Linked DNA regions of Nothobranchius furzeri. The protein of the gene in region 1 interacts with the protein of each later gene in a biochemical or structural test. Links are inferred from orthologs where the notes say so. Each region holds a gene or a part of one and is shown in the gene's direction. Other genes may lie near its edges. The genes, in order: cebpb and cebpg.

Region 1 (15,822 bases):
AGCTGCGAGCAGCTACGATCCAAAAAGTATCAGAACCGCTCACGGCGCATGCGCGCGCAATCCTGCATCAACGCCGGCCGGTCGCTCGCTATTTCCCTAATAACACACGCTGTTCGTTTTTGTTTCTACACGTTTTTTTTACTCACAAAGATTGTCAAGAAAGCGTGTTTGTCGTGTTCATGTCAAATTAAACTGATCATAAAACACAGATTCACTTTCTTTATTTCGTTTTCCTCATCCAACCCCCATAAATCCCTGTGTGTCCTCCTGCAGCACTCCCGAAGGACAACAGGCAAGACAAAAAAGTCTGACGTGTTGTGTAAAAACTGCTATTTTTAGCACATTTTGGGGCCGACGTGTTGCTACCAGACGTACAGTGTGAGCAGTCAGGTCGCATGCGAGAACTGGGTCGTACAGTGTGAGCACACGACTCGTGAGATCTGCTCTGCGAGGAAGTCGTACAGTTTGAGCTGAAGCTGAACGCTGCGAGTGAAAAAGTCGCACAGTGTACGCCCGGCTTAAGGAGGATTTTCCAAACCTGAAGAGACATGCTCAGAAGATGTTGGTTCTCTTCAGCTCTACCTACATTTGTGAACAAACATTTTCAATGATGAAGTTTACAAAATCCAGGTAAAGATCCTCTCTCACTGATGATCATTTGTCAGCTGTGCTTCGCTTCTCCACCTCAGACATCCAACCTGACTTTGATGCACTCGTTAAAGCCCAGCAGAGACTAGATTTCTCTCACTGAATAAGAAAAAAATTGCTTAAAAACACAAAATAAGGTGTTTGGACCACAAATGTAGGCAACTAGCAGTGAACTGGGACACTTTTTTTAAACCTCTTTCTCAAGATCACAGTTCAGTGATTTTATTTTACAGACAATACTGTGTGTCTGTAGAATGCTAAGAACCTCTTTCCAACAATATTTGAAACTCAGAATGTGTTTTGGAGTGAATGTGACTGAAACTGTTAACTAATATAAGTCACAAATGTTTAACAAAAACCAAATGTGCACACTTTGTTTACCATTGCCTTGGGAAATTTGAATAAATCACATTTTTGTAAGCCAACCTCACTTTTTCCTTTTTGCTCATTTATAACATATAGTCTACCAGCTTGAAGAAACAATGGTATTTACTGCTTTTTATAAAGAAATACCATTAATATTATGCATAATTGACTTCAGCCTTTTGGCCTGCGGCCCTCCACAATATTTTCTATTTCTCATGTGGCCCCATGGAAAAAATAATTGCCCACCCCTGTCCTACCTGATACCAATGTCCAACAGGGGTTGGTGCAGCTGACAGGAATGTCGCAGATAAAAAAAAGCAAACATTATTTAGCTCCTCTGAATCCGAGACCATCTTAAGTTGGAAAAGGGTAGAATGCTTTCTCCGGGTCAGGGATGAGGTCCTGCCTTAAGTGGTGGAGTCTAAGTATCTTGGGGTCTTGTTCACGAGTGAGGGAAAGATGGAGCACGAGATCGATAGGCGGATTGGTGCTGCATCTGCAGTGATGCGAGTGTTGTACCGATCTGTCGTTGTGAAGAGAGAGCTGAGCCGGAAGGCAAAGCTCTCGATTCACTGGTCAATCTACGTTCCAACTCTCACCTATGGTCACGAGCTTTGGGTAGAGACCGAAAGAACGAGATCACAGATATGAGCAACTGAAATGAATTTTCTCCGTGTGGTGGTTGGGTTCTTCTTGGGCTTGGTCATGCGGTAGGGGCTCGGAGTAGATCCACTGCTCCTCCACATCAAGAGGAGCAAGTTGAGGTGGCTTGGGCATCTGGTTAGGAAGCCTCATGGATGCCTCCCTGGTGAGGATTTCTGAGCACGTCCAACCGGGATGAGATTTAAAGGAAGACCCAGGACATGCTGGTCGGACTATGTCTCTCGGCTGGTCAGGGAACGCCTTAGGATTCACCCCAGAGGAGCTGGCCCACGTGGCTGGGAAGAGGGAAGTCTGGGCCTCTCTGCTTATACTGCTGCCCCTGTGACCCGACCCCGGATACGCGCATGAAAATGAATGGATGAACGGACATTACCATCATTTGATAATTTCTAAAAAAGGTAATCAAATTCTATGGAATTATTTGCCAGACATTTTGGTATTGCAAGCTGGGATTGTTTTGTCACGACACAGTGCCTCTTTATTAGGTACAGATGTTTAATAACATGTTAACACAAGTCCCAGTAACATGGCTGCAACTCAGTGCATTCATACATCTAGATGTGAAAGAGACGATTTGCTGAAGGTCAAACTGAGCATCAGAATGGAGAATAAGAACCACAACATCTGCTCCAGATGGACTCCATCAGCAGAAGACCACAACAGGTGTCTCGCCTGTTAGATAAGAACCAAAAACTGATGCTACAATTCACACAACATCACCAGAACTGGTCCAGAAGAGACTGGAAAACCTTTCCTGGTCTGATGAGTCTGGGTTTCAGCTACATTCAGATGGTTGGGTCAGAATTTGGTGTCACCAACATGAAAGCATGGATCCATCCTGCCTTGAATTAAATGTTCGGATTGTTACTGCTGGTGGTATAGTGGTGGTAGGAGGAGATGTTCTGGCCCCACCTGAGGCTGATTTAAACACCACAGCCTACCTGAGTACTGTTGCTCACCATGTCCATTCCTTTATGACCACATGGACCCATCTTCTGGTGGCTACTTCCAGCAGGACCATGCACCATGTCACCATATCTCAGATGGAAACATCTGTTAGATGTTAAATCTGTTTGGTTACAGACCAGAACTTCTGATGTATGCTTCCAAAACCTTGCTGAGTTGCTTACGTGAAGAATTAAAATTCTGAAGTGAAATGGAGTCCAACCTGGTACTGACAGTGTGTACCTAATAAAGTGGTCAGTGTGTCTGAGTGTGGCTGACTGAAGCTCCTCTGGTCAGTGAGGGTGCTTCACACAGATAGATGAAAAAAACAGACACTATTATATTTCCAAATAAAGATAAAGAATTGTGTAAAACACAGATGTTCCCTCTGTGTGGAATATTATGTGTCCTATAAGCAATAAATAGTTATAATAATAATATTTATAAAAAATCAATATAATCTCTATCTCTCCACTTGGAGAAATAAAGGTTAGTTCTGACCAAGGAGATCACAAAACAGTTCTAATCGTATTGACTTTGCAGCAGTTCATGCTAACACTGCATCATAATGTTTACATTACCACTAATTCTACATGTCAGGGTAATTCCGTCAGATGTTTTATTACATTCAGGCTCATTTCTACTGTAAAAAGCCTCATAATCATTAACAGTTTAAACTGAAATGTGAGGAAATAGAAAAGGTTATGGAGTATTTAGAGGAACTTCTGTGAAAACCTTTACATTGTTTATAGACCAGTTGTAACTGCTGGAGACCAACCTCCAAGAATTCATCTCCTCTTCTCCACACTGAAGCCTTGTCAAAATATTTGTACACCCTGCTTTAAGATTATTAAACATGACTCCACAAGGTGGCAGTGCGGTTCAGAAAATTAATGAATGAACGTTGTCATCACCACCTATAATAAAATATTATATTTTCATAACTAAATGGTTTTCCCAATTTAAAATGTGTACGTTTATGTTTTGCACACTGCTCAAAAAATTAAGAGTACGCAAGAATAATCCTTGAGCTGAATTAATTAAAATTTCGTACTTTGTTCTTTACATCGTTATATGTGCGGACAACAAAATCACACTAAAATTATCAATGGAAATCAAATGGAAGTCTGGATTTGGAGTCACACTCAAAATTAAAGTTGAAAAACACATAACAGGCTGATCCAACTTTGATGTAATGTCCTTAAAACAAGCCAAAATGAGCCTGTATGACCTCCCTACAACACCTGGGCATGCTCCTGATGAGGTGGCAGATGGGATCTCCTCCCAGACCTGGACTAAAGCATCCGCACAGTCCTGAACAGTCTGTGGTCCGAAATGGAGTTGGTTAATGGAGCGAGACATGATGTCCCAGATGTGCTCAACTGAATTCAGGCCCTTGGAACGGGCGGGCCAGTCCATATAGCATCTTGTGCCTTTGTCTTGCAGGAACTGCTGACACACTCCAGCCACATGAGGTCTAGCATTGTCTTGCATTACCCAGGGCCAACTGCACCAGCATATTGCCTCACAGGGGCTCTGAGGATCTCATCTTAGTACTCAATGGCAGTTAGGCTGCCTCTGGCGAGCACATGGAGGGCTGTGTGGTCCCACAAAGAAATGCCACCCCACATCATTACTGACCCACTACAAAACCGTTCATGCTGGAGGATGCTGCAGGCAGCAGAACGTCCTCCACGGCATCTCCAGACACGGTCCTGTCTGTCACATGTGCTCAGTGGGAACCTGCTTTCATATGTGAAGGGCACAGGGCGCCAGTTGTAAATATGCCAATCTTAGTGTTCTCTGATGTCAAACATCCTGCACGGTGTTGGGCTGTAAGTACAACCCCTGCCTGTGGATGTTGGGCCTTTGTACCGCTCTCATGGAGTCTGTTTCTGACCAGAGGTCATTCTGCAGGGCTCTGGCAGTGCTTCTCCTGTTCCTCCTTACACAAAGGTGGAGGTAGTGGTCCTGCTGCTGGGTTGTTGCCCTCCCTGGAGCCACCTCCATGCTCTGGACACTACGCTGACAGACTCAGTAAACTTTCTTGCCACAGCTCGCATTGTTGTACCATCCTGGATGAGCTGCACTACCTGAGACACTTGTGTGGGTTGCAGACTCCATCTCATGCTACTACTAGAGTGAAAGCATTCAAAAGTGACCAAAACATCATCCATCATCCAGAAAGCAGAGGAACTGAGAAGTAGTCTGTGGTCACCACCTGCAGAACCATTCGTTTTTTGTTTGCCTATAAATTCCACCTGTTGTCTTTTCTGTTTGCACAACAGCAGTGAAACTGCTTCTCAGTCACTGTCACTGGAGTTACATCGTGTTGTTTAAGTGTTCCTTTTATTATTGTTGAGCAGTGAACTTATATATAGATTTACATATCTGGATTTTTACACATATTTAAAATGTTAATACTTAGTAATTGTTGCATTGGTGATTTTGTAAACAAAAGTCTTTCGTTGAGTTTTATCAAGTTTATCAGATTCTAGCTTCTACTGCAGCCAGAATTAAGGACTTGAGGAGAGCTTGTGTCAGATCTCATTTTTTGTCGAGGCAGCAGATTTTTCAAGACCCACAAAGCAATCACAGACATCTTCTAGGGCACATATAAGTCTTTCGCCTTAAACCAGACAGACTGGCTTCCTCTGACGCCCACCCTGGCCTTTGTACAGATTTAGACATGCATCATGAGGAGGTCCACTGCACTTTAATTGGCACGTATATATGCTGGAAGTTGTGGGGCACCAGATTTCTAAATGAAATGAGTCTGTGGCTGCTTTGAACATCAGTGATGTTGTTACTATAAACTTTAAAAAGATAAACACGTTGGGTTTTTTTCCAGACGCGTGCAGCAGGGGGCGCGCTTGCATGACGGTGTAAACTGGAATTTTATTTTTTACTTTTTATTTGACTTCTGATATCAGCTCCCATTCATCAGCCAAAGCTGCTTTTCTCCTTTTTGTTCTGCTGCTAGAATTTTATTATAGCCTTCATCTGGTGCGCACGTACATAAAAACTAAAGCAAGTTTTATTTTGTTGTTCGGTGTTTTATTGTTGTTGTTTTGTTTTGTTTGTTTGTTTGTTTGTTTCATCGTGACAAAATACTTTAAATAGCATGCGGACGGGAAAGAATCTTCTCCGCACGGTACAGGTCGGTTCTGCTCTGCGTGACACACCTGCCAAGTTAAGCCCCGCCCCCACCCCTAATAAAACCCCTCCTGAGACAGGAAGATCTGTCAATTCCTCCCAATCCAAGAGCTCCCGCGTAGTAGGAGCTGCGTGTTTCTACGGGTAGTGACCGAGGAGGTTTAAACTCTCTGCATTCCGACGCATTTCACAACTGAGGCAGGAAAACCAGAACCAGCCAGGGCGTCCCACCTCAGCCCGACGTGCTCCTGCACTCCAGCGGGTGTTGAGATCCATGGAAGTGGCCGGCTTGTACGAGGAGGGCAGCTTTGCTATCCACGGTAGAGACGGCTTCATCGGACCCATAGGCGGAGGCTCTTACTGGAGGCTGGGCGACTCGATGACGGAGCTGGGTCTGGGGGAGCGGGAGAGAGCCATAGACTTCAGCGTTTACCTGGACTCCGCTTTGCACTGCCCGCAGCTGGCGGCGCACACGCAGCAGCAGGGGGACGCCTTCTCTGATTTCCTCGGGGAGAACAAGATCAAAAGACTCGCAGCTTTCCAGAACTATAAGAATTACTCGCTGCTGAGCGAGCTGGAGGCGAGCCAGTGCGAGGGTGCGAGGGAGCCCAGGGATCCGTACGCGCTGGGTTACCCCGAGCTGCAGGAGACCCGTGTGGACAGCGTTCTCAGCCCGGATCTGGTGGCCAGCCGTTACCGAGCCGCCGCTTCCACCGAGAGAGAAGACAGTCCGGAAGACGCAAAGATGGAGAACGGGTCATCTGGGTTTGACATGAGGTCCTACCTTCATTACCAATCCACCAGCGGAAGTATTGGAAACATCTCCACTGCGTCCTCGACCTGCTCCAGCCCGCCTGGCACACCTGCCCCGTCAGGTAAAAGCAGGTCACCGTCGCACGGTGGAAAGTCGTCTGGCGGGAAGGCGAAGAAGCGCCTGGACAAGGACAGTGAAGAGTACCGGCTGAGGAGGGAGAGGAACAACCTGGCAGTGAGGAAGAGCAGGGACAAAGCCAAGATGCGCAACTTGGAGACGCAACACAAAGTGCTGGAACTGGCTGCGGAGAACGATCGTCTACAGAAACGCGTGGAGCAGCTGTCCAGAGAGCTGGCCACCCTGCGCAACCTGCTCTCCGCCACCGGACAATGTTAGAACTCCCCACCTCCATCCCCCGGGGATACCGCACGGATCTCCCCCCGGATCCCCGCGCTGCTTGCCTGACAGACTTAACGGCGCAAGAGGCGACCCACTGTGCTGAAAACGGTACTCTGTAAACAGACCGCCAGTTTACATGGACACTTTGAATGAGACTGAACAAGTGGCTGCATGGATTGCGCAACCATTACGCGACTTTTCACTTGTCCTCATAGCTTTATTCTCAGATGTAATTTTAGTGTATGCAGTATTTCTGTGCAGGTTTTACATTACCAGTGAATTTCTACATTTTGTGTACACTGTATCTGCAGCAATGGCTGTCAGGGGAAGAGTTGTGCTGCAGTGAAATGATGCAACTCTTTGTAATAGTATTGGCAATGAATGAAATAGTCTAATTATTTAATATTAAAAGGTGAAATGCTTTAATTGTTCTTGATATTTTATTGAATTAAAGAGATTTATACTTTGTTTAAACTATTTCACTTCCCTTTTCTTCTTTTTTTGTCCCTTTCACCATGGATCGTGCATCGTTCACCGTCATCATAGACTGTGTAATACCATGTTTTGGGGTTACGACACACTGCAGATAAGAAATCACCTCGATGATAAGCAGAATGTGCACATTTAAATGTCAGGCTATGGTGAAATCAAACAAAGCACCATGAGATTTTTCTCTTTGGAACAGCTAATTTAGAAAATAGTCACATGGGCCCACACAAAACATCACTCATTAAAAAAATTTTTTATTGAGATTGTGCATTAAAGTTGCCTGATCAACTCACACACTTAATCATAAAATAAAATAGGCAAAGACTTTGTTTCAAAATGATTAATCAAAATCAGTTTTTATAGTTGCACTATATGCTTAATATCATGTTTGGTTGTTGTAATTGAGGGCTTGACTCCAAAAGTACACAGATCCTTAAATAAATGTGACAGATTTATACTGAAACGATACTGCTGAGAGCAGCAGAAAGGTCTTGGTCACTCTGCACGCAGCACAGAAATGGTAGCTTTATCTTTAGCACACAGTTCTGTCAATAGTCTGCTGGGTCCACCGGCCCAGAAAGGGGTTCAAGGTCGTCTGGAAATTAATGAACAACTAACCTGCTCACACTGGAACAGCCGAGACCTGGCGGGCGGTGATGTGTCTGAAACCTGAGCAAACCTCGGATAACCCTCACGTGGGAAACGTGCAGCACGACATTTCACCTGTCCACACTAGACTGTGGGTTACAGCAGAGGCTGCAGATAAGCTGAACTGTGGAATTTACCAACTACTCAGACTGCATTTGCCTGCGTGTGCAGCCTGAATCATATCTAAGCTAGCTAACCTCAGAAAGAGCAGATAAACACAAGGAGCATGTTGTGATTTGTTGTGGGGAATGTCTTCCAGCTGAAAAGTTTCACATTTGTCCTCAGATGGCACAACGAGGAGTCGCATTGTGTTCCTTTAATGGGGCGTGAACACAGAGTTGTGCTGTTTGTGCACAAGAAATGACATTTTAAACGTTTCAACACAGCTAGTGATGAACTGGAGAGTTCTAGCTGTTGTGCAACATCCTCCCTTTCCAAACACATCACTACCAGAAGAATGCTACACCCACTTTAGAAACAGACATCATTGTCCTCGGTCTGGAAGACAATAAGTGTGAGGAGTGTGTGCCAGTAGGTGTTCAGGAATAGATTGTGAAATCCAAGCAATCTCAGAATAAAAGTCAAGTTTCACATAAGATTTCCCATTTCTGGATGCTGTCAGTCCCTGGCACAGATTCATTCAAACATGGACATTCCTTCTTCGACGGCCTAATCCAGCCACAAGCACTCCTACTCCACTTCCAGATCCCATGCTGACAGGAAAGAGGGAAATTCCCACACAGGATGACCTCCCGTCTTCAGAGTTTAGCCCGGCCCTCTTTCCGTGTTTTACCGTCAAAGGGTAGTGCCTGTCTGTAAAACGTATTGCATCACACACACACACACACACACACACACACACACACACACACACACACACACACACACACACACACACACACACACACACACACGCATGCACGCACGCACACACACACACTCCACCTGCCATCCTATTGTCCTCTTTAGTTGTGAAATAAAGTTTTCCACATGTGACTCATACTAATTTGTTCTTCAAACACTTTACTTCTATTGTTGCAGTGATTTAGAAACACGATGTCCACATAACTCTCAGCCGCTGTTTTCATAACTAATTAAATTAATGAAGGCATCATTAGGCAACACTTAATTACAGACTCCTCCATTATTCTTAAATATAAAGTTACATCATTAAACCTGAAGCTTTCTGGGTTTGACGGTCAAGAACATGTATGATCGATGAAACACGATTAACATGAATGAATAGTGACTGTTCGTGGTGTGGAGGGCGGTGTGGGTTTAAGAGATGGGACTGGAGCGTGATGCTTCCTATCAACAGCAGGATCATCCTAATCTGTGGAGCACCTTTCCTGCACAAACAAGATCACTTTAAGTCTCTCCCTCTTCTCTCTGGATTTCAGACCCTTGCAGGATTTCCAGTGTTTACTGTTGTTTTTCTTGGTGCTCATATTAACTGTTGATTCACAAACTAACGATTCTGTGTTTTAGACTTTGTCCAGCTAGATTCATTTTTCCTGGAGTAGACTGACCGGGTTTGTTCGGTTTCAAACTGAATCAAAGCTCAAAACAATAACAGAAGTTTGTGTTTTAGTTTCTTTAAATGCTGCCAGCAGAAAGTGCTCCCTCTGGTTTAGATCAAGGTTTGTTTCTATCATTGTATCTCAAAGGTTTCCTTTTGTTTTGTAAAGCTTTACAGGAATATTAACATGGGATCGTTTATTAACTGCAGAATTTAATGGTAGTTTTGCTGGAATAACCATAAAGTAGGAACCTTTTTGGAATGCAAAGGTAATAAAATAGCATCTGAGGTGGTTTCCTGCAGGATAACATCACCTTCATCCATTTGGTTTGTTTTCCACAAAACTGTTACAAAAAAGAGCTGAAATGTACAGTTTCATTTTCACAGAGCAATTTCCAGTAAAACCCTAAAGCAGACGGGTCCTGTAACATCACACACACACACACACACACACACACACGTCATGTCATGCTTTGTATGGTGGAGCTGGTCTTTGTTGACATAGAAATCTAAACACAACTTTCAGCTGTTTGGATGTTTGTGTGATTATAAATCAGTGACTTTTTACTGAAATGTCCTTTCCTCAGATAGATTTTGACAAAGAAAACTAAAACAAATTTTGTCCTTAAGAAACACTTAAAGGTGTCCAGGAAGCTTTAACTCTTATGACTGTATCTGCTCTCTCTGCCGTTGGGTCATCAGCGCAATTCTAGTTTTCAAAACTGGCGGTCATTTAGGTTTTTGGTTCCTCTTGATAAGATCTATTTTGACATGTTGCTAAAAAATGTCCTAATTGTGTTTAATTTTACTAACTGAAATGTGTGATCATCACTTCCTGTTTAGAAAACTTTTTCTAACATGTGTTCTGTGTCATATTAAAGTGGGCTTTGCTTTCCAAGATGAATAAAATCCTTTAAAACTGAAATGTTTGTGCAGTAGAAACAGGAAACCTTTATTTTTTATGTTTGCCAGTATTCTGAACAATTTCATTATTTACAATTAAAAAATACATGCTAATTGATTTGTAGATTTGGGAAATGTATAGACATGTAAAGGAACTTCCTGTTATGACTTTTCACAGATGTTTTTATATGTTCTAAATGATAAACAGGGATTTCCACAGCCCTTAGAACAGGGGTGTCAAACTCATTTTAGCTCAGGGGCCACATTGAGGGAAATCTAGTCACAAGTGGGCTGGACCGGTAAATAAAAAAAAACTTCAGATTGTTTTCTTTGTTTTAATACAATCAATATAAAACAAGGCTGGAGTCTGAGGACAGTGTATCCAAAATAGTACAAGAACAACACCTGAAGTGTACTTGAAAATTTGAAATAAATAATAGAATAAAAAAAAAACATTCCTTAGTGATTCAAAGAGCTTACAGATCACATGGCTAGATGAGTTTCATGCAGCACTTAAAGTATATTTGACTCATTTTACTTTACATCTTTTAGCTTTCACCAGCACATCAATATCAGGAGTCACATCCTGAGTGGCGGCCAACTTCAGGATGTGATTCAAGTTCTTGTGTGAGCCTTGAGCGCAGCTTTGTTTTATTTATACTCGTTACAGAGAGAACTTGCTCACAAAGATAAGTTTATTTTCACTCTACATTGTAAAGTATGAAAATAAAGTTTACACAACCATCTCGCGGGCCGGATTTAACCTGCTTGCGAGCCGGATCCGGCCCACGGGCCGCATGTTTGACACCCCTGCCTTAGAATAACTAAACACTATCAGCCAGGTCATCCTTTGCTGTTTGACCCTGAAAATGAGATACTCATCAGCATTTTTCAGGATGTTCTGAATTTTCTCAGTTTTGTGTTTGAGTGCACATGTTTACATATTTACCTCTGAATTCTTAACGTCTCTGGGGTTTAGTTTAAACCTCAAATTTTTTTAAATTTAAGACGTTACTGACAAACAAAGATTTTTGTCAGGTGCACGACTAAAGTATCCTTATAGCTTCTCATGCAGGTTTAATGACTGAATGTAGCAAAATTTGTCTTTTTTAGCCACATTTAAATCAGAGTAGAGCTGTCCGGACCTACAGTATGTTTGGATGCTGTGAACACAGAGATTTCGTTTTTTTATCATTTCAGATCTGCGTTAAGTTAAAGGCGTGCCGGATATCCAAGTCGGGCTTGTGACGGGAACCCGGGAGGCCTGAGATACGGTAAGTGAACTAGAACATGATCTGTCTTGAAGTGAACCAGGATTTCAACATCTTGGTTCACTTCTGCTTTTTTTGCTGTACATGACTGTGAAAAAGACAAAACTGATGTGCAGAAGTAGCTTGTGGTCAGTACACAGCAAATATCACTGCCCAGATCTTGGGTAACAGCAGACCATCCTTACACAACAAACACAAGCTTAATTTCTAGAGCAACAACGGTGTCGGAGAGGCTTTGGAGCGCAGTCCTAATCTCTAAGAAGGTCCATCCAGTCTGCATAGAGCTTTTTAGTCTGTTATGTTAATTATCAGTTATAAAGCTTGAGTTAAAGTACTAGACTTTAGATTGTGCAGATGCTCCTTGTGTCAGAAAGTTAAATATCAGATCAAATAAATTTCACTGTGACCAAATAAACTTCCTCAGGAGCATCCATTTACCAGCATGCTCTTTTGGATTGTGGTCATTCACTAAATTCAGTTAGAAAGAACTGGCACTGTTGGAGTTTTTGTGTCAGAATGTTGTCTCAGGTTGTAGGTTCAAATCCCTGCTCAGCCTTTCTGCATGGAGTTGGTGTGTTCTCATGGGTTTTCTCCAGAAGCTCTGGTTTCCTCCCGCTGGCCAAGACTCTAAATTGCCCCTAGGTGTGTCACTGTGTGTCTTTGTGATGGACCGGAGACCTGTCCAGGAAGTCATTTTAGAAATCCTGTCACAAACGAGAGACGCTGGTTTTAAACTTTGGAAGCTCTTAGCTGTTTCCACCTCTTTATTCACCTGATTTTTGTGTCTAATCAGCACACCTGAACCAGTGAGACTCCTGATTTAGTCAAATTCTCTTTCTTCATTCTTGTTCATCAGCTCCTCTATTTGTTTTGATCATGAATCCTACCTGTATGGATTTGAATCTTTTTACTCCAGTTTGTTTCAGGTCCATCAAACCTTTACCTGACAGCAGCGCTCGCTACAGCTCCTGTTTATCTCCCATTGAAACACAAAGTCATCTAAAATAGAAACAGAAAATACATCATTTTAAAAATTCAAAAGAAAATATAAAGATGTCTGAATTAAAAAAAATAAACATTATTTCCTTACTTTGATATAAGTTAAATATGATCACTTATGTTAGTTTGCATAATAATCTAACCCTTTCTGCCCCCTAAACCAGTCATTTAAATAAAAAGAATATTTTCACTGCTTTTTGGTGTGGAAGCTAAATTGTTAAAATAGATGCCTTTCTTGACACCAATCTACGTGTGTGTGTGTGTGTGTGTGTGTGTGTGTGTGTGTGTGTGTGTGTGTGTGTGTGTGTGTGTGTGTGTGTGTGTGTGTGTGTGTGTGTGTGTGTGTGTGTGTGTGTGTGTGTGTGTGTGTGTGTGTGTGTGAGTGGGGCATCCAGCAATGGTCAGTTTAGGCACTGTTTGACCTTTCACCATCTATTCAACATCTGGTCAGAAAGGAGACACAACATTGCTTGTGTTCCCTTTAAATGAGTCTGCCTTCACACCAGCTGGGATTCAGACTCTGCAAGTCTGAAAGATAAACAATAACTTTCTTTCCCAAGGTCCCATCTGTCTACCTCCAGAAAGAAGAACTCCAGCTCAAATCAATTGCTAAATTCAAGAATGATTTCATAAATAAATATGAACTTCAGCTATGACCTGTCATCTAGATAATCATTAAATAAACATTTGTTTATTATTACTTATAATAATTATAGTATAATGAAATGCTTCATTAATCTGTGCACACTGAATGGATGTTATATTATGTGTGTCTAGTAGAACCTGCCATGTGTTGACCATGTTTTGACAACAAGGTCCTCACACCTGCCTCCACACAATAAGTACGGTTAAGTTAAGACTACAACAAATAACTTGTTTTTTTAACCAGTCAGGACTTCCGATATCAAAGACGGTGTTTTTCTGAGTTGCCTTGGTAAAACATCTCCAAACTTGTCAGCCTCTGATTGGCTGTGCAAATCATAACATCAAATCCTTAAAACTAGATCACTTTGAGTGATCTGGTAGTTCTAGAGAAAGCTTCAGACCGGCCATCTGTACCCAAACCCCTTTAACCATCAAAGATTTTGACACGTCGTCAAACCCTTTTTGCACCTGCAAATCTGATACAGTAGACAATTCCTGCAGAAACAAGCTGATATTGTTCAACTCCTTAAGAGTTATTCCTGAGCCGCAAGCTGATCCCAACCTGTGCTGCCTGGTGACAACTCTGGACTGGAGAAGTCGGTGCTTGCGGTCAATCTACTGGACCTGGGCGCCCCGTAGTCATCCGACCTCTCTGACCTCCGGATCCGTGACGAGGGTCATCAAAAGGATGAGGTAGAACACAGAGAGATTGTGTCTGATGTACTTCTGACGAAAACAACTTCATAGCTTAACCGATACAAATTCTTTTCCATCAGGAGACGTTGCTTTCCGAAATTCGGAAGTTCTGATCAACAACACATTGACACATAGCCTTCATCACATTTAGCTTCATCCAATCACAGAAAATGTTTAGTTCACTTGTGTTATAAATGAAATAAAATAATTTCTTTTATAAGCCTGACTCTTTTCTGAATCAAAACAAAGCGTGTATAATTACTTAATAAAGCAAAAATCCTAAAATCTTCTGATTAAGCCCTATAATCTTCTGATATTTACCATAAAGATCAAGCAAGGTAATCTTGTATATTTATACAGAATATCATTAAATAATACATTTGCCTCTGCTACAGTGGTGATAAAAGATACACAAGCAGCAAAACTGAACTCAACATAATATCATTCAAGCCTGAAAACATAGTGGTGCATGTTGAGTTTAGTTTTAATTCACTGAAGTAAAAGGCTGATTCCAGATCCTTTAGTGAGACTAACTATAACCTCAAACAAAATGACTCGTTCAGATGACTTGCTCATGGCCCAAAACCGATTTATTTCATAAAAGCTTCCATGGATGACTTCTATGTTTGCTTTTTTGTTTTATTCTAGATTTTATTTGCCTCTGTGCTTCTCAGTTCCATGATTTTACAGTAGGACCGATCTCCGATTGTCGCCACAGCCACAAGGGCACGCCTGTAGCCACAAATGGCTGTGACTGCTATCCCAAAGCTACGAGAACAGCCAATGGAGCTATGGATTGCTGTGACTGCACCCACTGACCATACGGACTCCTTTACGTTAAAGATTTAGTGACAGGTCAACGTTTAGCTAAAAAGCTTTGTTTTAGCAGGACAGTAGTTAAAAACTTTGTTCATATTTGAAACTTTGTTCATGTTTGATGTTTAATGAATGTCTTTGGTGTACTTTGAACTCGTGCTCCGTCATATAATGCTAACGTGGCTGTGCCCATAGCACAGTGGCTGTGTCCGTAGCACAGTAGTTGTGGTTATAGCCACTGTGTGCGTGCGGGGCTCTGGAGCCACAAAGAGGGGGCCCGCGGGCCGCCTATTGAGGACCACTGGTTTAGCCCCTCATCTGGAGAGATTAAATCAGCCCGACTCCATGGAAGATCAAAACCTCACCTTTAGGTCCAACAGCTTTTTCTTGAGTTTACTGATCGACCTTTCTAACCTCAACCTTTCCTCATTACTTTAGGACACAGAAACAGAAAGATATCCTAAAAGTCCTTTGAAGCACTGGTGTTTCATCAATAATGAAAGTTCAGCCAACTGCACTGTTCCTCAAAGGTTTGCTCCAAAACTTTCCTAGATTACCAGACATCTGTGCAGTTGAGCCAACATCCGGTTTTACTTTGACAAACAGGTTTTCAATATGTGAATATTATGGAAGTGAGATTTTATCCTCCACTGATCATTTGGCTAGATTTTTTGTCTGTTTTCTGAGTTTGATGCTATGACAGAGATAATTTATTATTATTACAGAAACTGTCATGTGATGTCTTGTTAATTAAAACCAGTAGTGTCTAAACAGTGGGAAGAATATTTTTAAAAATAAGATAAATTTTCCTTTGACTAATAGGAAAAGTAAATAAAATGTTTGACTGTACACTCGTGGAATCACAGCAGGCAAATCTATGTAGCAGTAATGGATGAGTTGGGTTT
Region 2 (17,037 bases), on another chromosome or scaffold:
GAGAACATGCTAACTCCAAGCATGCATGGGGAGAACATGCTAACTCCACACATGCATGGGGAGAACATGCTAACTCCACGCATGCATGGGGAGAACATGCTAACTCCACGCCTGCATGGGGAGAACATGCTAACTCCACACATGCATGGGGAGAACATGCTAACTCCACACATGCATGGGGAGAACATGCTAACTCCACGCATGCATGGGGAGAACATGCTAACTCCAAGCATGCATGGGGAGAACATGCTAACTCCATGCATGCATGGGGAAAACATGCTAACTCCATGCATGCATGGGGAGAACATGCTAAATCCATGCATGCATGGGGAGAACATGCTAACTCCATGCATGTATGGGGAGAACATGCTAACTCCACGTATGCATGGGGAGAACATGCTAACTCCACGCATGCATGGGGAGAACATGCTAACTCCACGCATGCATGGGGAGAACATGCTAACTCCACGCATGCATGGGGAGAACATGCTAACTCCATGCATGCATGGGGAGAACATGCTAAATCCACGCATGCATGGGGAGAACATGCTAACTCCACGCATGCATGGGGAGAACATGCTAACTCCATGCAAAGCTTTATTTGTATAGCACCTTACAACGGTATGAAACCGACCAAAGTGCTTCACAGAATGCAAAAACATTCAAAACAATACAACAACATAAAAATGCATTAAATCTAAAGCTTAAGAACTAACACTAAAACGACCCTCATGCTAAGTTTAAAGTCAGATCATAAAAACAGGTTGTCAAGAGAGTTAAAACCAGACGGTGAAGAGGTCGGCCCAATGCTCAAAAGCAGCGCATTCCAGAGCCTAGGGGCCACTGTAGAAAACGCCCTGTCACCTCTGAGCTTGCACCTTGTTTTTGGGACTTCCAGGAGCATCCTATCAGCCGACCTCAGAGACCGTGCAGCGGGTAAAAAAACAGTAGCTCAGCGAGGTCATCAGGAACAAGGCCATTCTTGCATGGGAAGAACATGCCAGCTTCACGCATGCATGGGGAGAACCTGTTAACTTGCTCGGTATAACTTTAATAAAAATTTAAAACAGAACAATGGCGTGAGAAAGCAAGTGGATCAGGTGTTCCACCCTGGATGGTACAGGTTCCTTTAGTCTCCGCCCCCTCCCTGATCACCGGGTAACTGTTAGAGATGGCAGACTGCATCCCAGAACCTCCTGATGGTGTTTAGATTTTCACTCAGACTGAGATCGATCTGGTGTTGAAGAAAATCTTGTTTTCAGGTCAGAATTAATCTTGTTTCATAAATATTTCTCTTTTTGTTAGTTTGTTCAACTTTTTGTGTGTTCTGATCCAAATCCGGTTTCAGAGCTCATTCAGGATTTTTAAGAACAAAAGTGACATCATTCGATCAGAAAGAAAGTGCTTTAGGAGCAGAACCCCCTGGTGAGCGTCTCGGAGGACAGACAGTCCCATGGTGTCGTTTCAGCCGGAGGAACAATATGCAGCAGAATCCTGGTTAATGTTCTACCTGAGCAAACACCCGGGAGGGCGGAGAGGAGCGCTGTCTCTGACACACAGGTGCACATGTGTCCATAGAGGTAGAGGTATATACGGGTCAACATCGGTCCACACAGGTCTTCATCTATCCACACGTGTCCACATGAAGAGTCCAGACAGGTTCTCAAGACCCCACAAAAGCCTGTACGTGTCCATGTGGGTCAACACAGGTCCACATGAATTCACGTGTCCATACCGGTCTACATGGGTCCTCGTGAGTCCATAAAGCCAGTCCACAGAGATCTGGCAGTGAAAATGTTGAAGAAAACATTAGCTCACTCGAGAAGATCATTGAACCTAAAACCAAGCCAACTGGGTTTGGACTCTGAGCGGAGCTGCAGGAGCAGCCAGTGATCAAAGCCGAGGAGTTCCAGCTGCTGACGGGAAAATAACTCACAATAACGGGTCCAGGTTCTGCTGCAAACTGCTCCTCTTCCTCCCGCACCTCCTCCTGCTCCTTACTGCACCTCCTCCTGCTCATCTGCTCCTCCTAATCCTGCACATCCTGCTCCTGCTCCTCATCCTCCTCTTCCTAAAAGCCTCTGTTATGATTCTGCTTTAGAGATGAATGAAACTCAGTAAATAGTTTTGCCTTTTTTCTGTTTGGTGTGATGAGCCCGTTTGTTTCCTCACATGAGAGGTTCTGATGCTCAGGACTTTTTCTGGGTCAGAACCAAAGCAGGAGGTGAACAGCCTGAAGTTTCCTCTGAGATGATGACCGGCGTGATGAAGACTTCATCTTAGAACCAGAACACAGCTGGATGTTTGATCTGTGTTTACGTTCACAAAGAACCTCACAAACTGGATCAGAACCGGCCGGACACAGCACCAAACATGCATCACTAAATAAAAACAGCACGTTTCCTGAAAGCTTAGATCGGGTCATCAGCGGGAGAATCCATCAGAGGAAGACAGAAAGCAGCTGTTCTGTGGACATCTTGTGCTGAAAAGAAAACACGTGTTGGAGGAAATGGGCCAAGTATCAGAACCAGGACCCGATCTAGACCCACAACACAGGTCCACAGATCTGAGATGAAACTGGACCACCAGCTTTTTGGCTCTAAGTGAGAGAAAGATCAAATTCATCAGCAATTTCAACCAGAACCAACTCAGATTGAAAAACCCAAATCAGGTTCAGGTTTGATCTAATGGAACTGGTTCTGACCCAACAGTCATTTACTTACAGAGCCAATGAATAAACAACTGGACCAGAGGTCAGAGGCCACTCAGATCGGATTATTTCAAAATAAAAGCCTCTCATAGCTCCACCCATTCCACCAGGACTAGATCAGAACATTAATCTGATGGAACAACCCAGACAGAACCTTTAGATCTCAGATTAAGAGTAGTGGTTTTTATCGGTCACAGCTGGTGATGAATGTCTCAGAAGTCTCCTCATCCTATAACATACAGAGCCGCCAGCTTAAGGTCTAGACGTCCACTTATCATGGAAACGGGTCCAAAGATTCCCAATGGGGACCCAATAGAACCACAGGGGGACAAAGAAAAACACAAAAGGACTACGAGGGGGGACACAAATAAACCACTGGGGGGGTGATCTGCAGTTTGGTTTGAGTTCTTAGATTGTATGCCGACAACAGAACATCTGAAGATGTTCTCACAGAATTCACTCCTGAGGAGGATCTTAGCGTTTACGGATCCTGACCAGATCACGTTTCAGCTTCACGCTTTAGGTGTTCCTTCATGATCTAGCACAAATCTCCAGACTGGGCTGACCAGGTGAGTCCGGTTTCCACCGGCAGACCGGCTCCGCTGTGTTAAAAGTTCTAAATCGTGATCAACGCTAGGCCGAGCTGCTGCTAACGTCCTTGTTGGACGACAAAGAAGAGTGTCGGAGCCCACATTTACCTTTCCAGGATATTTCCTACTGGGAATATCCAGACTTAAATGGGCAGCAGTAGCTCAACAGGTAGAGCGGGTTGTCCAGTAATCGGAAGGTTGCAGGTTTGATCCTGGCTCTGGACAGAGAATTCTGCTGTTGTGTCATTGGGCAAGACACTTAACCCACCTTGCCTGCTGGTGGTGATCGGAGGGACTGGTGGCGCCTGTGCTCGGCAGCCTCGCCTCTGTCAGAGCGCCCCAGGGCAGCTGTGGCTACATCGTAGCTCATCACCATCAGTGTGTGAATGTGTGTGTGAATGGGTGAATGATACACTGTAGTGTAAAGCGCTTTGGAGCAGGGGCGGATTAAGGACTGAAGAAGATCCGGGGCTTAACACACACACGCACACACACACACGTGCACACACACACGTGACACGCACTCAACATACATATTTGTCTTGAACCACATAATTTTTAATCTGAAGCTACATATTCAGCATATTCAGGGCAGAGTATTGTTCCTGTTAGTGTTTAGTGTGAGATGATAGTAAATATTCCCTTTCTTTCTCCAACAACTTTACCTGATAATCTAACTTTAGGCAAACAGCAGCACAACAAATATTTTCAAATAAGACTCACAAACCTGAATCAGCACCAGTCTCATCAAAGCTGGGGTTCTGTCGTTGTACTTTTGGTCTAAAAAACGTCCTTATGTCCATCTTCACTCATGCGTTTCAGGCAGAGAGTAGAAAAAACAGGCACTGCAGAAGAAGCCGGCTGCTTAAGGGCTTCTTCTTCAGTGGTGGAGGCTCAGGCAGGCTGTGTACAAACTACTGCTAGCTGCTCTCTCTCTGTTGGACTTTGGTACTGCATGTTACTTCCACGTTTGAGATCCAGGGCTTTTCATTAAAGATTCGGGGCTTCAGCCCAAGTAGCCGGGCCTAACGCCGCCCCTGCTTTGGAGTCCTTACTCTGAGAGGCGCTGTACAAGTGCGGATCATTTATCATTTAAATGAATGCCAGATAGATTCATAACTTTCCTGTTGAGTTCTCCATACTCTATAAGGCTGTAGAGTTTCTACCTTCAGACAGTTAAAGAGCTCTCAGGGTAAACCGGCCAATCAGCATGCAGCTGTTTGAACGTCTTGGTTACGTTCAGTCTGTGCTGATTTTCTGATTCCGTTTTTTCTGTTCTTCTGTTCCCATACACAGAGCAGTATAGAGCTTGTTTTTACCTTCTTACTGACAAACAGATGGAAGCGATTCCACCATCATCGGTGATACTCTGGCAACAGCAGTAGCCAATAAGATTCATGCCCTGGCCGAGGGGGCGGGACAAACCAGTCTTTCCATTGTAGGGTTTTGTTATGGGGTTGTGTTTGACCGTTTAGCAGGGCTCCTGGGTCATTGTGGGCTCCAGTAAAGATTCATCTGGAGGTTCAGTGAACAGTTTCCAGTTCTAATAAAAGTAGAACACCTTTAAAGCTTCCGATCTGTTTCTGGGTGCAGCTTAAGCTACCTGTTTTTTTAGTCTCATAAAAATGTGAGACAGAAAGGCCCGGATGAGCTGCTGGAAAACAGAAAAGCTCCATCGCTGATGAAGTTCCTCGGGAGAGAAGATCAGACTTTCTAAAATCCTCAGGATCAGATCTGGATCACCGTTGATCTGCTCTGACTCCTGCTGGCTGCTTCTCCCCAAGTCCAGAACCAACAGCTCAAGAACAGCTTCGTCCCACACACTCACTGGGGGGCTGACAGCAGAACCCAACCGGGCCATCAATGTTACTGAATGCGCGATGTATCTGATACCACTGATGTGTTTCGTGTAATTTTTTTCATTTGTTTTTTATTCATTTGAGGTTTTTTGTTGGCTCCTTTGTTCGTCTTGTTGTTGAAACTTTTCTGTGTGCCGCTGCTGGAAGCTGAATTTTCCAGAGGAACCTTCCTGAGGGATTATTGAAGTTCCTTCGGAACATCTGAGGGAGTTCCGATTTTACGACATGATGGCAGGTCGCCTGCAGCAGAGTCATGACACAAACAGAACCTTAAAGCACAAACTGAGGGAATAATAATCATTTAAATACACAGGAAACAGAAGCTGGAACCAGTAGATCAGCTGTCTGACGCCTCATTAAGCAGCTGGTTTTAGAGTAAAAATGAATATCTTTGACTTAGTGTGTGTGTGTGTGTGTGTGTGTGTGTGTGTGTGTGTGTGTGTGTGTGTGTGTGTGTGTGTGTGTGTGTGTGTGTGTGTGTGTGTGTGTGTGCACATAGAGCCGAACACTCTCAGAAGAACACCAGAACCAAATTTGATAAAACAAGTTTCTTTATTACTTCAGATTTTGGTTTTTCATTTATATTTTATGTTTATATTACAGAAATAAACAACAAAGTGCTTCTTTCTTCCTCCCTGGAACAAGTCAGAGAACCATCTGAGGGATCGGACAAAGGTCAAAGGTCATCTGAGCGATCAAAAGGCACTGAGTGAAGATGACTGCAACAAGCAGGAAGATGAAGAGTGATGCTGAAACCTGGTTCACATTTAGCTGTTCTGATCACAATAAAACATGTTTAGAGGGGCGTAGTTCTGTTGGGTTCTGTCCAGAACCTGTATCAGTACACCCCCTCCCCATGATCAGTACCATCACTGCCTCCCCATGTCCCACAATGTATCTGGCTTTAGTGCATGAGAGCTTCAGTCTGAACAGGGTCAGGGTTGGGCTTGCAGGGCTTTGGCGGTTCTGTTTGTAACGGTTTCAGTACCGAACAACCCTCAGCCTGGCTTTGCTAGGGTCATTCAGAACTAGTTTTATTAAACATGGGTTCTGGCTCTGACCCAAACTCCCCAGACAGTTTATCTCTGGCAAGTGTGAAGGTGAGTTTGATACCACGTGGTGTCAACAGCCAATCACCTGCAAAACACAGTTCAGCCAAGCAAACAGCTCAGAAACAGGTTTCGGTCCGGTTTGGTTCCGTACATGAGATCGTTTGTGATTAAATAAAATTCTGTAATGAAGGCGTCGTGCACGCAGGCTGGTCCCGCACTAACCTCATCGTAGCTGCACTGAAATGTTCTGAGTGGTTCTGGACTCAGTCTGTTTAAGGCACTGAACATCTGATTCAGCTTATCGGCTTTTGCACAAACGTTAAAGGCACGAGAACACGACAAACAAATAAACAAACAAACAAGTTAAAAGTCTCCAACGGGTTCAGTTTGTTGATGGAAGAGTTCCGTTCTGCTGCTCTGAAGATTAAAATCATCCGGAACCGAACCGGGTCTGTTAAGTTTTCTGCTCCTTGACCCAAAAGTTCTGCATATGTGCAGCTGTTTTGAGAACTCAGCTGCTTCTGTCTCTAAACAAATCCAGCACTCTCCGGTCCAGTCCGATTCAGATCTCTCAGCTGCCCATGGGTTTGAACGACCCGTCCGGCAGCTGTCTGAAAATGCCCCGTAACGTGTCCAGCTCCCGGGTCAGGTGCTCCACCCTCCGCCTGAGCCGCTCGTTGTCGGTCGTCAGCTCCACCACCTTCTGCTGGGTCTCCAGGTTCCGCATCTTGGCCTTGTCCCGAGACTTACGCACAGCCACGTTGTTGCGCTCGCGCCTCAGCCGGTACTCCGGACTGCTCTTATCCACGTGTTTCTTAGATTTCCCGCCTCCCCGCTGCTCGAGCAGCTTCATGCCGCCCTGCTGCAGGTGCTGGTGCGTGTGGTGATGGTGCGGGCTCGGCACTGGAGTCGGTGGAGGCGTCGGGTGGCCCGGCTGGAGGTGCATGGTGGTCTGCGCGCAGTGCGCAATCTGGTACTGCAGGTGCGGCATCTGCGGCTGCTGCTGCTGCTGGTACTGCTGAGGATGCGCGTGCGGGTGGTGGTAGGAAGGGGGCATGCCCGGGTTCAGGTCCTCGTCATCCCGGGGCTCCTGCTTTATGGCCACCGGTCGGAGGCGCGGCGGGTTGTGCTCGTAGAACGGCTCCAGCTTGGACTCCATGTAGTTAGGCATGTAGAGCTGCTGTGGACCCGGACCGCAGTCATACTCTCCATTCATCATCTTGACTTTGTCCTGTCGCGAGTTGTGGTGGAACAGGTCCGCCAGGAAGTCGTCGTTGAAGGCAGACGGATCGATGTAGGCGCTCAGGTCTATGGAGGTCTCGTTGTCTCCGATCTCCCCCCCGAGGTCAGACGGGTCTCTATAGCCGGAGGGGGGCTGCTGGCCGTGGGGCAGACTGCTCAGCAGGGGCCGGGGCGCGACCTCGTACAGGTTCGAGAGCTCCATGGAGAACCTAAAGCCGGGCGGGCATGGCGAGGAGCTCCGGAAATCCAGTTTGGAAAGTCACACACTCAGGTGAGTCGGACCGCTGCGGACAGGAGCCGACCGGAACCAGAGTCTTTAGGACTGACTGACACTTTGTGTTGGAACGAAGAGAAGCTGCCGGTCCGATTCCTGGTCCTCAGTAACCTCCGAGCTGTCAAACAGCGGTTTTATAGTTGGAATGGGTGGGCGGGGACAACACCACACTCCTTCAGTCTGTCTGACTCGAACCCCTCCGGGACCCGGGTGGGACAACAGAACCCTGCAGGTTCTCGGAACCGATCATGATCCCAAGTGTTGTTTAAGGAGTTTGGGTCTCGCTCCTAGACTAAAGGTTCTGATCACCTGATGCGGATCGTCTCCCGAACTGCACCACCCCATCGGAACCAAAACGCTTGACTGATGTTTCGTTTACTTAAAAAAAGGTAAATTAACCAGAATTAAATTAGAATAAAACTTTTGTTTGTTTCACAAAAGAGTCCTGTGTGTGCGCACGCATGTTTTTATGCGCGTAAGTAAATGCCTGCCATACCTCTGTGTATGTGCGCGCGTTCACACACACACAAACACACACACACACGCGCGCGCGCGCGCGCGCGTGTGTGTGTGCGTGTAAAATGCGGGATGCAGCGCCCTCTGTCGGACGCAGACAGACACCGTCTGGTCTGATGTTGGTTCTGGTTCGTTTCAGACCGTATAGAACCGAGCAGAGATCCAGAACATCTCGCACCATCTTGGAGACCTTTGAAGGACCTTTTCTCCTTCAAAAACAACCGCTGGATCCTGTGTTCATGACAGAGATGCTGTTAGCTCTGTTCTGCTAGCATAGCTGGTGGTCTCCATGGTAACGCTGTTGGCTACATTAGCATAACTCCTGTTAGCATAAATAAGGGTCGGTTAAAATGCCATTTCCTCGTCATAAAGATAGTGTGTTTGTTTTAATGAGTATCATTTTAGTACAACATGTAAAATTAGAAATTAGCCCAAATAGTTGTAATAAGTCTATTATTTCGTTGTAAATAAAGAGTGATATTTTAACCACATAGTCCCCATCTGATTGTCTCCCTGAGAGGACATGTGTCTCTGTCTCACTGACATCCGAGACACATATAAAGACTTGTCTTACTATAAACACATCACAATCATAGAACCACAGAACCCATCAGAACTATCTCTGAACATTTGTGATATGGGTTCCTGGGATCAATCTTTAGGCTCTGCAGAATCTGAACTGGTCCTATAGCTTTATCTGAACCTGAACGTGAACATCTGACGCACTCCTCAGGAGATGTATTGAGATGTGAGGAATCCCCCACTGAGACAGAATCTCTGGGTCTGGTTAATCCAGGAACATGGTCCAATAAAAAACCATATGAAATCTTTTAAGTACCTAAAACCTGAGAAGATCCAATCTGATCATGGTTGTTTGTTTTTGTACAGGCATAAAGAGCTGGTGAAACCAGAACTGGTCCAGTTCCAGCATCATTCAGCTTCACATCTCCAGCTGTGACCCTTAAGCAACTGGTTCTTTTTTGATTGTTGATTAAGATGAAGTCAAAAGTTGCAGCAAATAGAAGCTGTAGAGAGTCCAGAGGAGGTTTCAAGATATAACTGCCACTCTCATGAAGCCTCTTCTCATCCTAGAGCTGCATATCTCCCCCTGAAACCTCCTCTCTGCTCCTGAAGCATCCTCTCTCCCCCTTCAGCCTGATCTCTCCTTTTGACGCCTCCACCTTGCTGAATCCACCTCTCTCATTATTACACATCCTCTCTCGCCCTGAAACCTCATCTCTCCTTCTGAGGCCTCCACCTTTCTGAAGCCTCCTCTCTCTTCTCTCCTCCTGAAACCTGATCTGAGGTTCATGGAGAGATTGGTGCTGACCAACAGCATTCTGGTGTGGTGCAGCAGCAGCTCTGCATGCTGACAGTAAGGCCCTGCAGAAAGTAATCTAAACAGCAGAGAAAATAACAAACGCACACCTGCCTGCCCTGGATGACATCTTCACCACTCGCTGCCTTCAGAAAACATCCTAAAGGACTCACCCTGCCCTGCTAACCATCTCTTCAAACTTCTGTCTGGCAAACAATACAGGGCAATAAAAACACACACCACCAGGCTGTTAAACCAAAAAACAGCTTATGGAGCCATCACTGAACTGATGTTGCTGCTAGGCGGTCACACTAACAGGTATCTGCTGCACAGTTACAGCACCTTGACAACATGTGACTGTTTACATTATGTTTGCTTATGTTTACATTACATTTCGCTTAGTTTTAGACTTGCCTCATTACCATATCTGCATGTTTTTGCACCTAAACTGGCTGTGTGTGTGTGTGTGTGTGTGTGTGTGTGTGTGTGTGTGTGTGTGTGTGTGTGTGTGTGTGTGTGTGTGTGTGTGTGAGAGAGAGAGAGAGACTGTGCATGACTTCTACTTTAGCCTTATTTTATTTTACTTATAGTCTACCACCTCCTCACGTGAGCTGTCTTTAGTGAGCGCAAAGTCATTTTTGTTGTGCACCTGCGCAATGACAATAAAAAGTCTTGGATCTTCTCCTCTCTCATCCTGAAGCCTCCTCTTACCCCTGAAACTTGATCTCTGCTCCTGAAACCTCTTTTCTCCTCCTAAAACCTCCTCCTATCTGAAACCTGCTTTCTCCTCCTGAAACGTCCACCTTCCTGAATCCCCCTCCCTCCTCCTGATATCTGCTTTCTCCTCTTGAAACTTCCAACTTCCTGAAACCTCCTCTCTAAAACATCTACTTCCTGAAAGCTCCTCTCTGCTCCTGAAATATTCTCTCTCCTTATTAAGCCTCCTCTCTACTCCCGAGGGACCTGGATACTCTTCCTGTCTGAGGCAACAGCTCACCTGTTACCTGTAGGTGACAGTCAAAGAAGGGGCACGTGGATGATCAGACATATTTAAATCAGGACCTTTCCAGGACTGATTTCCAGATAGTCAGACATGTTTGTACTCATCCCACAACCTCTGATTACACAAACAAACTAACAAGAAGACCACGCGCTATTGGTTTAGCTGCCTGTCAGGCATTCAAAGCATTGCATCACTCTTCTGAATACTGAGCTCTCATTGGCCTTCACCTCTATTCGCTGCCGCCTACTCACCTGTAATTGGCTGGTCTTCGACGTTGCCCATACATGGTAAAGTAGATTTCGCAATCGGCTGCTCTCCATGTTCCAAACAAAAACACTTCAGCTTCACTCAGACGGAATCTAAGTCGGATTTTAAATCCCGTTCTCTGTGTTTTTATGGATGCTTGACTCCACCGCCGCTCTTTTAAGGTAAATCCCGTTTCAGCGTTTCATGGCTCCGATCAGAGACGACAAATATCCAGGACAGGACTCGTTAGCATTAGAAGCTAATCAGCTAGCTGGCTAAAGGGCTAAGTCGCTTTGAGGAACGTGAAATTCAGTCTCCGCTCGTTTTTAGAGACACACTTTGCTTACAGCGGGGCTCGTATTCACAACAAAAGGCGACAGTTAAGCGAGTGGTTGGCGTCAGCTGGTGGGTTGGAGGGAATCGAGTTGACTAAGTGGAAGGAAATAACAACAAAAGCCTTATAAAGTGACATTTTTGGGTCTGAGATCCGTTTGGATGTTTTTACAGTTTATTTAAACTCACTTCGGTCCTGTGAAAGGTGAGGTTTGTGCTGAGCCCCGCATGACTCCGGGGTTCCCCGCTGCTGATGATGCAACAGCGGGTAACAGCTCTGCTGTTTCACCCGGAGCGCTTTACCCTGCGCACAGCTGAGTGGCTGCATAGCAACGCACCGACCAATCAGTGTCGGTGCTAGCCGAGGCTGCACAAAAATCACATGACCCAAGATATCAAGCAAGAGGTGTGATCACGTGACACATGATGGCAGGTAGTGGAAGGAGAAACAACAGGAACACATTCAGTTCCAACAGGTGGGCGGGGCTCAGGTGTTTTCACAGGTTAATGTTTGAAAGCAATGAAGATGTGATTTCAGGACATGATTTACACAAATGTGAATAGATTTAATGTTGATGGGAGAACAAAACTGTGACCAAATGCAGGTGTGAAGCCTGGCGAGTAAGGTAGTCACGGGACCTCTAACAACCCGGGCTGCTGGGTGATTTCTCGCTGATGGACATGTTTGAGACTCGCTGCAGGGGGACATTTGGGTCAAGGTATTGTGTTCAGGTGGAGCTTCTTAGTGATGGTGGTGTTACTGAGATCCAAAGTGTGGATGTGTAGCTCAGAGGCTAATTAATAGTGGATTACTGCATCCATGTTGTTGTTGGCCAGCTAAAGGTGAAACTCCCCCTGACAGGAAGCTGTGTTCTGCTAACATGTCTACGCGGCTGAGGTGTTGTCTGTTTGAATGGTTTCATTCAACATGTGTCCATCTCCTCCTTCAGGCTCAATCCAGTTGGATCTCCTTCTCTCCTTCCTGTCCCCATCTCATCTCTACACCTGAGGAGACTCTGGTCAGAGATCAGCACCTGAAGGCACCACATCCAAATGAGCAGGCCGTCGCAGCCGAAACTCACCACAGCCGACCACAACAGCGTGAGTGTCATCCAGAGCCAGGCTCACGCCTCCTCGTCCCTGCCGGCGGCCGTTGCCGGACTGCAGCAGGTCCCTCAGCTCATCCCAGCCAACCCTTCCTCTGCTGGAGGCAAAGCCCTTCCCCCAAGCAAGATGAAGAAACCCACTGTGGACAAGGACAGTGATGAGTACCGCCAGCGGCGCGAGCGCAACAACCTGGCGGTGAAGAAGAGCCGCATGCGCAGCAAGCAGAAGGCTATGGACACGCAGCAGCGCGTCAACGAGCTGAAGGAGGAAAACGAGCGGCTGGAGGCCAAAATCAAACTGCTCAGCAAAGAGCTTAGTGTGCTCAAAGACCTCTTCCTGGAGCATGCACACAACCTAGCTGACAATGTTCAGCCACCTGTCAGCACTGAGGGCTCTAGCCCCGCCCCCAACAGCACCCCCACCAATGGGCAGTGAGGTGTGGATCCACTAGGTTGTTAACACCTGCAGGTTATCTGGAAACGAGCCTCTCCTCTCGTCTTCTTCACTTCGCATTTCTTTGTATGAATCTGTTGTTGTTCACCGTGTCCACCCACCCACCCTCAACTTTTAGAGACTTCCTCAGAAACTTGTCTGACTGTTTATTGGACAGAGACACAGGTGTGGACTCTGATCATTGGAAGGTAGCATTTCCTCCTTCTGTTGGTGTTTGATCTAATTTTTTGGTTTTAACTGGATTCATGAAGATGTTGATATTTTAAACATCAAAACTTGACTAAAGACCTGGAAGGTTCTGGTAGACCCAGGCAGGGGGGGTAGGGGTGGTGGGGGTTCTTTTCGCTGAGGTGGAAACCTCAACCACCCGAGTCACAAACAGGATCAGAAGAGAACAACTATGAGGTTCAGAGCTCCTCAGGGAACCAGCCATAATCTGGATCAGAAACTTTTCTCCTCATCCTGGTTTTGTTTCCATCAGCGGCGCAGATCCGGTTGAAAAGCGTCTGGTTTCTGATTAAAGCCGCAAAGGTCCAGAGAAAACCTGTTTCCAGCCACCGAACCGTCTGATGGGTTGGGTCAGAACCACTCAGCATGGATGCGACCAATGGAATTTTGTCTGAGCTCAAAAACAGTGAAAGTTCTGATGTTGCCGTCTGGTGGAGTGTTTGTTTACCTGTAAACAGGAAGTTGATCCAGAGTGATTTGTGTTGAAACTAAAACGTTTCCACCTGTCAGAACACCCCGTCCAGACAGGTGTGTTTGTGTTTGGAGTGCTGGGCGGACCCAGACACCTCAGCCCCCCCTCCCCGCTGAGCTGCAGCTTTATGCTAAATCCAGTTTTAAGCCGGGCTGAGTCATTAGCCGTCTGCTAACGAGAGCCGAACAGATCGCGACAGGTCCCCACGGCGGCCCCACCCAACTTCAGGAGAGGGTGGAGCCACAGCGAGCCACCAGCAGACTTTATAATTAGCTGAGCTTTGAACAGGCGTGGTGTGTTTGCGTGTCAGGAGCCTTACCTGCCCACAGGTGTGGTGACTCGAAGCCTCCAGCCAAACTCCACTGCTTCCTGTTCACTTTTCTCAACACAAGACAGTTTGATGTGGTTCTGAAAGGTTCTGGTGTCAAAGTGGTTCTGTTCATGTTGGTTTCACTTGTTTCTAATAACAGTCCTGAACAGTCATCTGGGTTCTGTTCAGAAAAAAAAATACTCCCGTAGATCCGATTCCAGGTGATTACATCATAAAACTTCAGCTTTGGTTTTAGAAAATCTTCTAAATTTGACGGTTTCATATCAGAAACTGAAAATAATGATCAGCTGGCTCTTGTCGCTCAGGTGCTCTGATCTCGCACGCACGCACGCACGCGCACGCACACGCACACACACACACACACACACACACACACACACACACACACACACACACACACACACACACACACACACACACACACACACACACACACACACACACACACACACACAGCTCCTAGTCCACTCTGAATCATAATCAACAAAGGACCTTCACTCAACCTCTAAATGTGAAGTTGGTGTTTTCTGCTCTTTTACCCAAATTAAGTCTGTAAGACATGCATGATCCATGAGAGACGGGAGCTACATGCGGTCCATTAGATCTGAACAGAACCCGATCTGGATCAGGACCTTTTCTTGGATTAGCTCTTGACTCCACACCCACATCAGGATCCCTGCAGAGTCCCGATACAAGCTTCAGTGTGAGAACTCGAACCTGTCTGCTTTGGGTCCAGATCCTCGGGTCAAGCGGCGCAAACAGAATCTTTTTCAATTTTATATGTTTTTTTAAACAATTTTATTCCTGAAACAGCATGTGTGTTTAGGGGTGGGGTGTCTTTATGTGTAAATTAAACTCGAGTAAAAGTTCTGCTGACTAGTTCTTCCTGTGTGTGTGTGTGTGTGTGTGTGTGTGTGTGTGTGTGTGTGTGTGTGAACCTCAAAGTGTCCCTAGCTGATCTGTGTTCCTAATAAACAGCAGGTGATTGACACAGTGACATCATCTGACATCACTAAACACACAGGGGTTTTCTGTAGTTCAAAGGTCACGTTGAGTCAGCTGATCATAAAAGTCACCTGATGAGTGGATCGACTCACCATGACAGAAACGGACACCGCACACACCGCTACCATCAGGTCAGCATGTGTGTGTGTGTGTGTACTGAATGCCCGTGCAGCTTTTATCTGTGCTCCATCAGTCTGCCATAACATTATGAACACCTGCTTCACATTGAGAAGAGCTGATCCTGGAGCTGCTGTGGAGCTCTCGAGTTCTCTTGTGGTTCTGGTTCTGATGCACGCTGCAACATTAGAAATAAACCCTTTTTCCCACAATCTGCTCTTTTTCAGCAAATGGGAAAACATGAAAACAGTTAAACGTTCAAACATAAAAATGACTGATAGCCTCGTCTTCAATCGCCAAGTTACATTTGTTTAAACTTCACCTCCTCTGAGAATCTGGCGCCGTTCTTCACACAGAAACATCTGGAAAACATGTTCTACGCTTGTTTCCTCTTTATTCTCTCGATCGCACACATCTGTAGCGCTGCTCCTTGGAGGCCTCAGATCCATCTCTGCAGAAAACCAGCCCAACATCTGAGAACTGGCACTATCTGACAAGAGGTGCAGTTGTCATGGTTACCGACTTGTTTACAGTCAGCAGTCTAATGATTTTTTTTGTAAACAACATCCAGTCACCGTACAGAAAAGATGTTAGGGTTAGAGGTCAACCGTTTTACAGAGAGAAATGGTCGCTGGTGAAAAACAGACAGCTGCCAATCAGCAGGTCCACCCAGAGGTCAAAGGTCAGAGAAAACCAAAGAGCTCCGATTTTACTAGCTTTAGGTCAGAGGTCATGAGTTTGATCTGATGGTTCTGTTTAGAAACTGTTCCTTGAATTCCAGAAAGGATTTAGAAACACAAACCAGATAAAAAAGCTTTAGCGTTACCATGGCGACCACAGATAAAGCTGGAGACAGTCTAGTTAGAAATCCTCAGGGAGATTTCTATGTCTATCTCGTATTTCGCCAGAGCCAGGCACAAATAAATCACCGGCGTCCACAGAACAGAAGCTGGTTCCTCCTGCAGATGGACGCTTCTCTGACCACCAGAGGAAACTGAAACCAGTGGTTGTCCCCTTCAAGTTGCTGCTGTTGGAATCTGAGTGAACTGAAGCTGATGGGCCCGCAGCTTCAGCTGGTGAAGAAACCCCCAGAGTCAGAGGAGGAGGCTGAAGGTGAAGACGTTCAGTTCAGAGAGAAGCTGTCAAGCCTCCAGATATCTGTTAGCAATCAGGGTCAGAGTGATTGACAGCCCGGGGTTCTGGCTGTCAGGATGAGTTAGGAGATCGGAGCGAAGCAGCAGAACGTCTTCTCCATCTCTGAGGCTGATAACGTCACTAGGAGCTGCTGATTTATGACATCTTTCACAACTCATAAACAAGATAAACGCTCAGCTCGGCGCAGCTCCATGTGAGCTACAGCGCTGGGAATGTTGTGTCACGCAGAGGAGATACTGTAGATGGATGCGGTCCACGTCCTCCCCAAAGTAGACCCGGTCCAGCTCAGGCCATCCTCACAAACCCGAAAGACAAAAGTTCTGAGTCCAGTGGCTTTAGGTCCATCTGGCGTGTACCCCTTTAGGTCACTCCTACCCAGAGTCCATCACTAGTTTATTTCAGAAGACAACCCAGGGTAAAACTCCCCAGATCTCACGCCTACATTCACTGTTTTTTACCCTACACACACTTCTTCTGCATGTGCACACAAATTATTTCCCATCTTTCTCCTTAATATCATTCTCAAGCTTTGTTTTATGATTTTTCTTGTGTTTTTGAGCGGTTGTGGTCTGTCTGTTCCCCTAACGTGGGCCCCTCAGCCCAGCCGTGTGTGTGTAGGGTTCTGAAAGATCTGACCTGGATAGGAATAGATGTGCTCATGTGTCGATTGTGTTTCTGTGTCGTCTGTCTCTGTTGGATTTGGAGGACCCAAACAGACTTCACATCATTAGACAGGAAATCCAACCAGAACCACATCTGTCTCAGGACCAAAGGACGATGAACGAGCAGATGTCAAGGGAAACCAGCTAAGCACCAAGAGCTCTGATGGCAGAACCGTGATCCTAGAAGTAATCTTGACTTCAAAACGAAGCACTGACTATAACAAAGGCGTTTGCCCGATTGCATGATCACTCAACTGCTTCTTCTTTCAGACAATGAAATAATTTAACACAAGGCAAAGATTCTCTTTTCTAAGCTGCTTTTGAGGTTTTATGTAACCGGATTACAGGATACAATAAGATAATT

What was found.
Region 2: the proteins of cebpb (region 1) and cebpg form a complex in vitro, tested with the Homo sapiens proteins (2 studies listed by BioGRID and IntAct, with this or other methods). The link is inferred for Nothobranchius furzeri from reciprocal best matches to the Homo sapiens genes CEBPB and CEBPG.

Annotation. Positions count from the first base shown.
Region 1 is NC_091755.1:52,061,468-52,077,289, reverse strand, and holds cebpb (CCAAT/enhancer-binding protein beta), read left to right. Parts: upstream 1-5,888; 5' UTR 5,889-6,052; coding exon 6,053-6,928; 3' UTR 6,929-7,160; downstream 7,161-15,822. UniProt on the Homo sapiens protein: Important transcription factor regulating the expression of genes involved in immune and inflammatory responses. Also plays a significant role in adipogenesis, as well as in the gluconeogenic pathway, liver regeneration, and hematopoiesis.
Region 2 is NC_091749.1:66,131,425-66,148,461, reverse strand, and holds cebpg (CCAAT/enhancer-binding protein gamma), read left to right. Parts: upstream 1-9,164; 5' UTR 9,165-9,879; intron 9,880-10,654; exon of another isoform or gene 10,655-10,992; intron 10,993-11,027; exon of another isoform or gene 11,028-11,619; intron 11,620-12,093; 5' UTR 12,094-12,196; coding exon 12,197-12,685; 3' UTR 12,686-14,603; downstream 14,604-17,037. Other genes in the region: cebpa (CCAAT/enhancer-binding protein alpha), read right to left, coding at 6,783-7,655. UniProt on the Homo sapiens protein: Transcription factor that binds to the promoter and the enhancer regions of target genes. Binds to the enhancer element PRE-I (positive regulatory element-I) of the IL-4 gene. Binds to the promoter and the enhancer of the immunoglobulin heavy chain.